Oryzias latipes: one gene and its partner. The protein of the gene in region 2 binds, or shares a complex with, the protein of the main gene of each other region. Links are inferred from orthologs where the notes say so. Each region holds a gene or a part of one and is shown on either strand. Other genes may lie near its edges. The genes, in order: tyrobp and syk.

Region 1 (3,321 bases), on a different chromosome or scaffold from region 2:
AATCTCCAAAGACAGCCAGGAAATACAAGGAAGAACAGGATGAGTGGCAGACCGGTCCCAGACCAAAGCCAGGAGGAGCCAGACTGGGATAGCTTTGAGAACAATCGGGGTGCAGGAGCAGCTGTGGACAACAGTCGACATGCAAACTGTGATGGTAAGATTACATTTGATATGCCACAAAGCATTACTTATACAACAAATGCAGTCTGTGAACAGATCTGTACATCAAATTTCCAAACAGAAACCAGAGAATGCTCCAGCGTGGAAACACACGCTGCCATTGGTGAGAGTTCCTTTTCCTCAGTTTTTTGCTCATCAACCGCTTAGTGATGCTCACTTCTCTCTTTCTGTTTGCGCTTAAGGGCCCGACCGCTTCCCAGCTCTTCCAGCCTTCAGCTAAGCAGCCTGCTGTTCAAACATGGAGGTGTGTTCTCTCTGCATCATAAAAGGGATTTCTACAACTGTTTTAGGAAGCTGAATGACCCGTTTCTCAATTCAAATTCTTTAATGTAACATCTCCCATTGTCTCTATTTTTGTTGATCCATCCTGCCTGCATGTTAAACAATAAATGTCCCCCTTATTTTTTTACCCACAGGTCTTTTTTCCCCTCACTATGAGTCAGTATCCATCATCTGTTGAATCATCAGGCGCAGACAGGCTGCTTCCTAATACAGACGCTCTGGAATTTTCTTTTTCCTTCATCCACATTCAGAGCTTTTTTTTTTTTTTTAACGTTAAACAATAAAAGACATAAAAATAACAGAAATGTTGACTTCCTATGACTGGTTAATATACATTAAAAATGAAACACACTATAAAATGCTGTTTTCAAACTAGAATTAAAACATGTATTCTTATTCAAAATAAAGGCAGCAACACACACACTCACAAAACCTTTCAAGCATACAAACATTTACATAAATATTCCACTTTTACATACAGTATTTTATATTAGTGCTTTAAAATCACAGGCATTTACATTACAATTGTGCTGGATTATAACCTAAAGCTACATATATGCAGGATCATTTGCTGTTTGCTTTACGTTCACACACAAACATTATGCTTTACATTATAGCTTCATGTTAGAGTTGTCTGTTCCATTTAAAGTGTCATTTTCTAAAGTGTTGAAGCTCACTGTACACATCTGACTGGACTCCATGTAACTCCTAAAAATCACATGATAGCAAGCAAAGCAGTTATTGATTGCAGCAACATAAAAATCCCCAAATAAAGTTCATAATTGATGGTTATGGGGTTCTAGTTACCTGGTAGGGAGACTCTGCAACTTCTGTTGGCACTTTCTTTGAAGTTTGCAAAGATGAGTTCTTTTTACCTGTATACAGGTGGGAAACGGTTAGATGACAGCCCTTTTGGCAAGTGCCCACACTTGCAGAAAAAAAGCAGAGTTAAGGGGCGCTCACCATGGAGGGAGTCACATTCTCTCCTTCTCCTTTGGTGAGTTGCAAAGCAGAACACAGAAATCATAATGAAGATGGTCAGGATGATGTCAGAAGTAATTACGGCGATCAAAGACGTCATGCTTATGAGATAGCAGCCATCACAGCCTGGGGGGGGGGGGGGGGACACGTAAAGCACAGGGTTTGAATTTAGCACCACATCTCCTTCCGACTGAGTCAAAAATGTGTAGAAAGTTAAAATACCTGGCGTCTCCTCTGAGCCTGAAATATGAAAACAAAATCTTTGTTTACACAAAATAAACGAATAAAAGCGAGAATTAATCATGCATCACTTACCAAAAAAGGAACCTGCGACACAGAGGTGTTCGGGCATCGTCTTCATGTTGGGGTTTAGTAAGGCAGGAAATGAGAGTGAGAAGCTGGGGGCTGTACGTCCCTCTGTTCACTATCAAACAACTGTCCTCCACCCATGAACAAGAGGCTGTGAACTGGAGACAGAGGGGCCCACAGACAGGAGACAGTCCACAGACAATATGGTGTGAGTACCAGGAAGCTTGGTAACCTCCCGGATGACAGTGAAAGGAGGAGTCCACTGTGAAAAGAGGGAGGAGGTGTTTCTGCTTTGTTTTTATGCCACATGGACGTTGCACAGTTATTATTTTTTACAACTAAAATGTCACCATTTGAACTTGGGCCACATTTTTGACAGTTTGACCAAATTGTTCTGATGAAATTAAGCAAAAAAGGTTTCTGACGGGGTTCTGTGTTGCCAGTTTGCAGTTTTGGCTGAAGTTGATGGTACCTCAGAATAGAGCGTTTCCTCAGAACCTGTGGTTTTGCACAGAAACTTGGCCATAGCTACTGCCGCTTGATCTGCAGGCCTTTCACCACACGTTTAGACAAATTGAACTGTGTCTATCAGCAGAACGAAAGTAAACCTTTTTTTGTCCATCAGAAAGAAGCAACAATAAAGACTTTCACACTTTAACCCCTTCATGCCATATGTCGCTAATTTGCAATATATTAAATCCAGGACTCAACTTAATTTAGCATCACTTTGAACAGAAAAAAACACAGAAACTTATTTTTTTTTAAATTGGAAATAAATCTGGGGATGAAGGGGTTAATGTCCAAGAAAAAAACAGTAAACAAATACTGGTGATACCAGTTATGTCACTTCATGGAATTTCCGGAATTAAACACAAAGGGGCTGCAAAAAAAAGCCATTTCTTAGTTTCTATTCATGAGAAAAATGTACCATGTTACTTTTTTAAGGACAACTGAGTTAGTTGAGTGAAATTACAGAAACAAAAGGATGTGCACCAATTCAGTCCACAGAGTTAGAAGTGACCTTTACATGTTTTTTTAGGTGTCAGCGTCTGTCATCCACCCACATAGATTTGGTATCATTTCAAATCAGTGCCTCAAGGCAAGGCCACGTTTTTAAGTTTTTGTTCATCTGAAATAGAAATAGAACTTAATGAAACTGAGAAAGTGAAAACCATTTTTGATTTGACTATATAAGTGGTTTGACACAAACATGAAAGTTAAAACCCCCTTCAGTCAAACCATTTCTTACGTGTTTTTGTTTTCAAAACTTCCTTTTTTCATTTTGTTACCTTTCTTTTTTTGTTCCTTATGCTTAAATACTTTTATTTTCAATTCTCCAGAAGTTGTTTTCTTCAGTCCCCATGTGAAAAAAAAGAACTTTTAGGAAGAATATTGCAAAAGAGAAATGATAAACTATTTTAGCAATAACAGTTAAAATAACGACCCAACGCAGAAGATACACACACAAAATTTATTTTTGTAAGGACTTCAAAAATGATACATTTCAACAAAAGACATGGGATTTTTTTATAAACAGTAATAAAGGTAAACACACAATATATAAAATGT
Region 2 (4,438 bases):
TCACCAGTAAAATTAATAAAACAATTTATTCTGTAATGAGTTGTTGATGTTTCTCAGCTCTCAAAAACTGAACAATTACTCACAACCATTAAAAAAGAAGAATAAGAGTATGAAGCAATATCACTAGTAAATATTCATTTATTTAGGTAACACAAAGAGCTGCAACATTTATATTTATTTGCTTTTACAATGAAAACTAAATACCGATTCTGTAGTAAAACATCAAACCAAGGAAATGCTGCTTCACTACGAAGGCATTGCTGCTCTCAATGGTGTCCACTAGATGGCACAACGGAGCGGGACATTGTTTCAAATCATTGACACATGCCATTCCACTGTTTAGAAGTGTCATGAGGTTCACCACGATCCATTTTCAATTCCAAGTAGACCCTAAACCTGGAGAACCAGCAACGCCACCCACGAGGAAAGGTTTTAAAGAAGGTCACACAAAAGGTCATTCAAGAGGCTTTCTCAATTCTGGAGAAAGCCTCTTGAATAAGGAGACAAACATCTTCGACTTAAAAGACTAAGACATGTGTCTTTACAGATCATCTGGACTTAGTCACTAAGAAGACTTGTTCTGCTATGGAACAATCGTGGATGAATGAGTCTTCACAGATGCATCTTTGACACACTTTGATTCTGTTGTCTGTTTTGTTTAAATCTTACCTTAACGTTTTTTTAACCATACCAGCAGAGTTTTCATCTTTTAAAAGTGAATGTTTTGTGTACATACAAGCAAAATATGTTTGTTTCTTTACTTGATTCTGTACTGACTCGTTTATGTTTTACATTTGGATTTTTTCCCCTACAGCATTACTTTATTATAAAAAAAAAATACAAAAAAATATTTAAAAAAGTAAAACAAATGATTAATCACTTATTGAAAATTGTTAAATTGATTGACTTTTAATGATATTACTTCACTTTCTCCAAAAATTGATTAATTGATTCAAAAGTCTTTCCTAATGTAGCATAATTTTGCACATGTTTTTAATTTTTGATACTTGATGAAATTTTCCTATGAAAATTCCTGAAACAGTGTAGTGTCTACTTTACTGATATAGTATTGTGCTTTATTCATATGAATGGCTTTTATAAGTAACATAATCTGCATATATTTCAGATGACTGATGTGCATTTGCCATGTTGATTTCTAAAATAGTTATTTTTGACGTAATACTTAAGTAATTCATCTTTGTCATGTGCTTTATCGATACCTTATGATTTTTAATTCTGTCTGATAAAAACTGGGAACCGGATATTGATAAATCATGTAATAAAATGGTTACAGTATAACGGGGTGGGATTATATAAGTTCGCTTCCTCCCACTCCCTTTCAAGCAATATTTATTAATATGTCTAATTATCCTAAGTTTGATTAGTTACTGTATGAATGTATAACTGATGATTATATTGCTGTTGTGTATTATTTCTACTTAATTGCTTGAAATAAACCATTTCAAATAAAAAAAAACAACAACATTTGGATGGCCAAGTCTGCTCCTCACTAATGTCATAGAAAAAGGGATTGATGTTCTCCTGATCCTGGACAGTCTTCCTCATTGACAGCAGTGCTGCCGCCTGCTGGCAGCACGCAGGAATGACGGGGATCTTGGTTTTTCGTGGGACAGGAACATTAAAAAACCGACGGGTGGGGTTCTGCATTAGAGGCTGCTCTCATGTTGTGCATGTCGGGTCGTGGAAAGCAGCGATGATGAGACGCTCGTGCCACCTTCATGATGAGACACGCGTGCACCTGCAGTCAACGTGGCGGAGCCCAAGGACTCAGGTGAGTGTCCCGTGAGGAGCGGTGGGTTTTGGAAGGAGCAGCAGAGTCCCGCTTTAAGTGGATCTTGACGTTGCTTGACATGGAGTCGTGTTTGTGGGCGCGCACCAAGCGGTTACAGAATCCCACAGATCACATGATCTGTGCGCGGTTCTCGCATGCGCTTCTGGGCCGTCGCCAACATCAAGATGGATCAAAGTCAATGGGAAACCACCGCGTGCTGAGGATGTGTGCGCGCGTGTCCTCTGCGGAACGAACTGCATCCTGCGTGACGCAAGAGGCGCAGGCATGTATCCTGGGTAATGACATGGAGCAAAGATGCAGCAGTGATGCAGTTAAATGGAGCAGAGAAGATGTGAACACGAGGCAGACATGCAGCAGAAGTGGAGCAGACATGCAGCAAAGGGGAAGCAGGCATGCAGCAGAAAGGGAGCAGACATGCAGAAAAGGTGAAGCAGGCATGCAGCAGAAAGGGAGCAGAACTGGAGCAGACATGCAGATCAAGTGTAGCAGACCAGTAGCAGAAGTAAAGCAGAGAAGCAGCTTTACTGCTAGGAGGAGACAGACATAAAGCAGAAGTTTATTTATTTAGTTGTTCATTTATTGTTATTTATTTATCAATCTTATCTTGTTTTATGAAGTTAAACTAGATTTTTAACGCGTTATTTTAATTTACCATGTTTCAATGTTTATTGCTTTTATCATTATGTTTACTCTTTCATTCTCATTTTTATTTTCACTTTTATTTCCGGTGCTTCCTCAGTTGGGCCCCCCCCCTCTGGGTCGGCTGCTGTTGAGCCGCTGCGGCTCTGGATGGGGACCTGCATCACCGCTTAGCTGTGGTGGAGCGGTCCCCGCCTGTGATGCTGCATTTGGCTGTCTATGCAGCTGTTCACAGAGAGGAAGGTTCCAATTATTAGCGTTTCCAACATCTTGTTTTCGTGCTCAGCCTATTTCTCATTGTCTTTCCCGATTAGGGGGTGGGATGTATGAAAGGAGTGGGGGGCTGTGTCTAGGTACGGGGAGGGGGCGCTATTTTTTTGTGCTTGTTAATTTTAATTTTCATGCTTGTTTTTAGATTATTTTGTTTTGTTTTAATGTAAAGCACTTTGTGTTATGCTTTTATATGAAACGTGCTTTATAAATAAAGTTTGTTAGCAAACATGGAGGCAAAGTGAAACAGACATGAAGCAGGATTGAAACTGACATGAAGCCCAATTGAAATAATGCTGCAAAGATAAAGAAAAGTTACAGAATATGCAGCAAAGATGGGGACCAGAAAGATGCAGCACTCAGTCACGTCTTTGAGGATCTGGAACAGTTGGAACAGGAAAGGTCCAAATCTCTAAACAGGTTTCTATAAAGTCTGGTGCATGTCGTTGATTGAATTATTATCAATATCAAATTGAATATATATGAATCTAGGACAGCATTTTCCAACCCTGGTCCTCGGGGAACACTGTCCTGCATATTTTCAAACCTTCCCCGCTCACAAACACACCTGCATTTGCTGATGGATCTTTGTTCCATGAACATGGATGGCAGGTCTTCCACGTGTGTAGTGTACAGCCTCAGGGTGTTGGATTTGGGATCCCATCAGGCTTTGTGGAAAGCTTTCTCATCCCAGTATGATCAAAGACATAGTTGGGTCTTGGGTTTTCCATTGATCTTCTCAGAACCTGGCTTACTTAAGTTTTTAAGCTGTGGCCGTTTTCCTGCTGGCCTCTCTATGGAAGCCCCCCCTCCAGAATATTAAAATCCTGTTTCTGTCTCGTGTCATACTTTCAAAACTCAAAACCTTTTTTGTCTTTGTTGACTTTTGAAGACACTTTTCTAGCCTAAATGTCTTTGTGGTGCCATTTTAAAATGTCCTTTTGGTGTCGTTCCTGAATTTCTTTGTGATGTTGTCCTTAAATGCCCTTGGTGTTGTTCCTCAATGTACTTCTGGTGCTGTTCCTGAAGGTCTTTATGGTGTCGTTCTTAAATGTCCTAATGGTGTGGATCTGAGTAAATGAATGGTGAAAATGAAAACTGAAAGCACCCAGCCATGTTTGATTGTCAATCAAAGACATAATGAGCAAAAAATGAGCTCTTAATTAAATTAAAATAGCTCATAAAAATGACAGTCGCCATGCATAACGAATAAAACAATAAAGGTGTTGACCGTGGACTGTACATATTTTAGTTCTAGTGAAAAATTGATGCAGTTAATGGGAAATTCTCCCCTTCTGCCAATGGCCCTAGTGGTCACTTATTGAACTGCATCATTTGGTAGTTCTATGTTTGCTTCAAATTCAAGAATGAAAGGTGGGAGTTTTGCTCCACCAATGAGAAGCTACTAGGCCAGGAGTAAATTAAAATAAAGCTGGACAACATCTCTCGTACAATCACAGTTCAGCTGTCTTTAAAGACTATGTGAGCTGATAAACGTTCCTGTTAAAGCCCAGTAAATGACACAAACTGATGTAAAGTTAAATAGAAAAAGTTCAGAGGCATCAGTCATCATTTAAAACTAAACTCTTCAGGCTAAAGGCCAACAGCATAGAAATCAAGTCATTGACGATGACTGTATATGAGAACTGGACTTAGTGACCCCCCCAGCCCCATATTCCAAACAGGAAGTACCCACTGAAAAGTAAATTAGATTGT

What was found.
Region 1: the proteins of syk (region 2) and tyrobp are in contact, whole or in part, in a crystal structure (PDB 7Q5W), measured with the Homo sapiens proteins. The link is inferred for Oryzias latipes from reciprocal best matches to the Homo sapiens genes SYK and TYROBP. Residues at the interface, in NP_001167638.1 of Homo sapiens: Arg22, Arg42, Asn46, His62, His63, Tyr64, Thr65, Ile76, Ala77, Gly78, Gly79, His92, Asp97, Gly98, Leu99, Arg175, Arg195, Arg197, Lys212, Leu214, His215, Tyr216, Arg217, Ile228, Pro229, Glu230, Gly231, Lys232, His243, Lys247; in NP_003323.1 of Homo sapiens: Pro90, Tyr91, Gln92, Glu93, Leu94, Gln95, Arg98, Ser99, Asp100, Val101, Tyr102, Ser103, Asp104, Leu105, Asn106.

What each region holds. Positions count from the first base shown.
Region 1 is NC_019874.2:15,548,476-15,551,796, reverse strand, and holds tyrobp (TYRO protein tyrosine kinase-binding protein), read right to left. Parts: upstream 2,007-3,321; 5' UTR 1,805-2,006; coding exon 1,759-1,804; intron 1,684-1,758; coding exon 1,666-1,683; intron 1,570-1,665; coding exon 1,426-1,569; intron 1,338-1,425; coding exon 1,270-1,337; intron 1,171-1,269; coding exon 1,114-1,170; 3' UTR 733-1,113; downstream 1-732. Other genes in the region: uncharacterized protein LOC101174619, read left to right, coding at 1-154, 242-327. UniProt on the Homo sapiens protein: Adapter protein which non-covalently associates with activating receptors found on the surface of a variety of immune cells to mediate signaling and cell activation following ligand binding by the receptors.
Region 2 is NC_019870.2:27,556,766-27,561,203, reverse strand, and holds the start of syk (tyrosine-protein kinase SYK), read left to right. Parts: upstream 1-1,625; 5' UTR 1,626-1,792; intron 1,793-4,438. UniProt on the Homo sapiens protein: Non-receptor tyrosine kinase which mediates signal transduction downstream of a variety of transmembrane receptors including classical immunoreceptors like the B-cell receptor (BCR).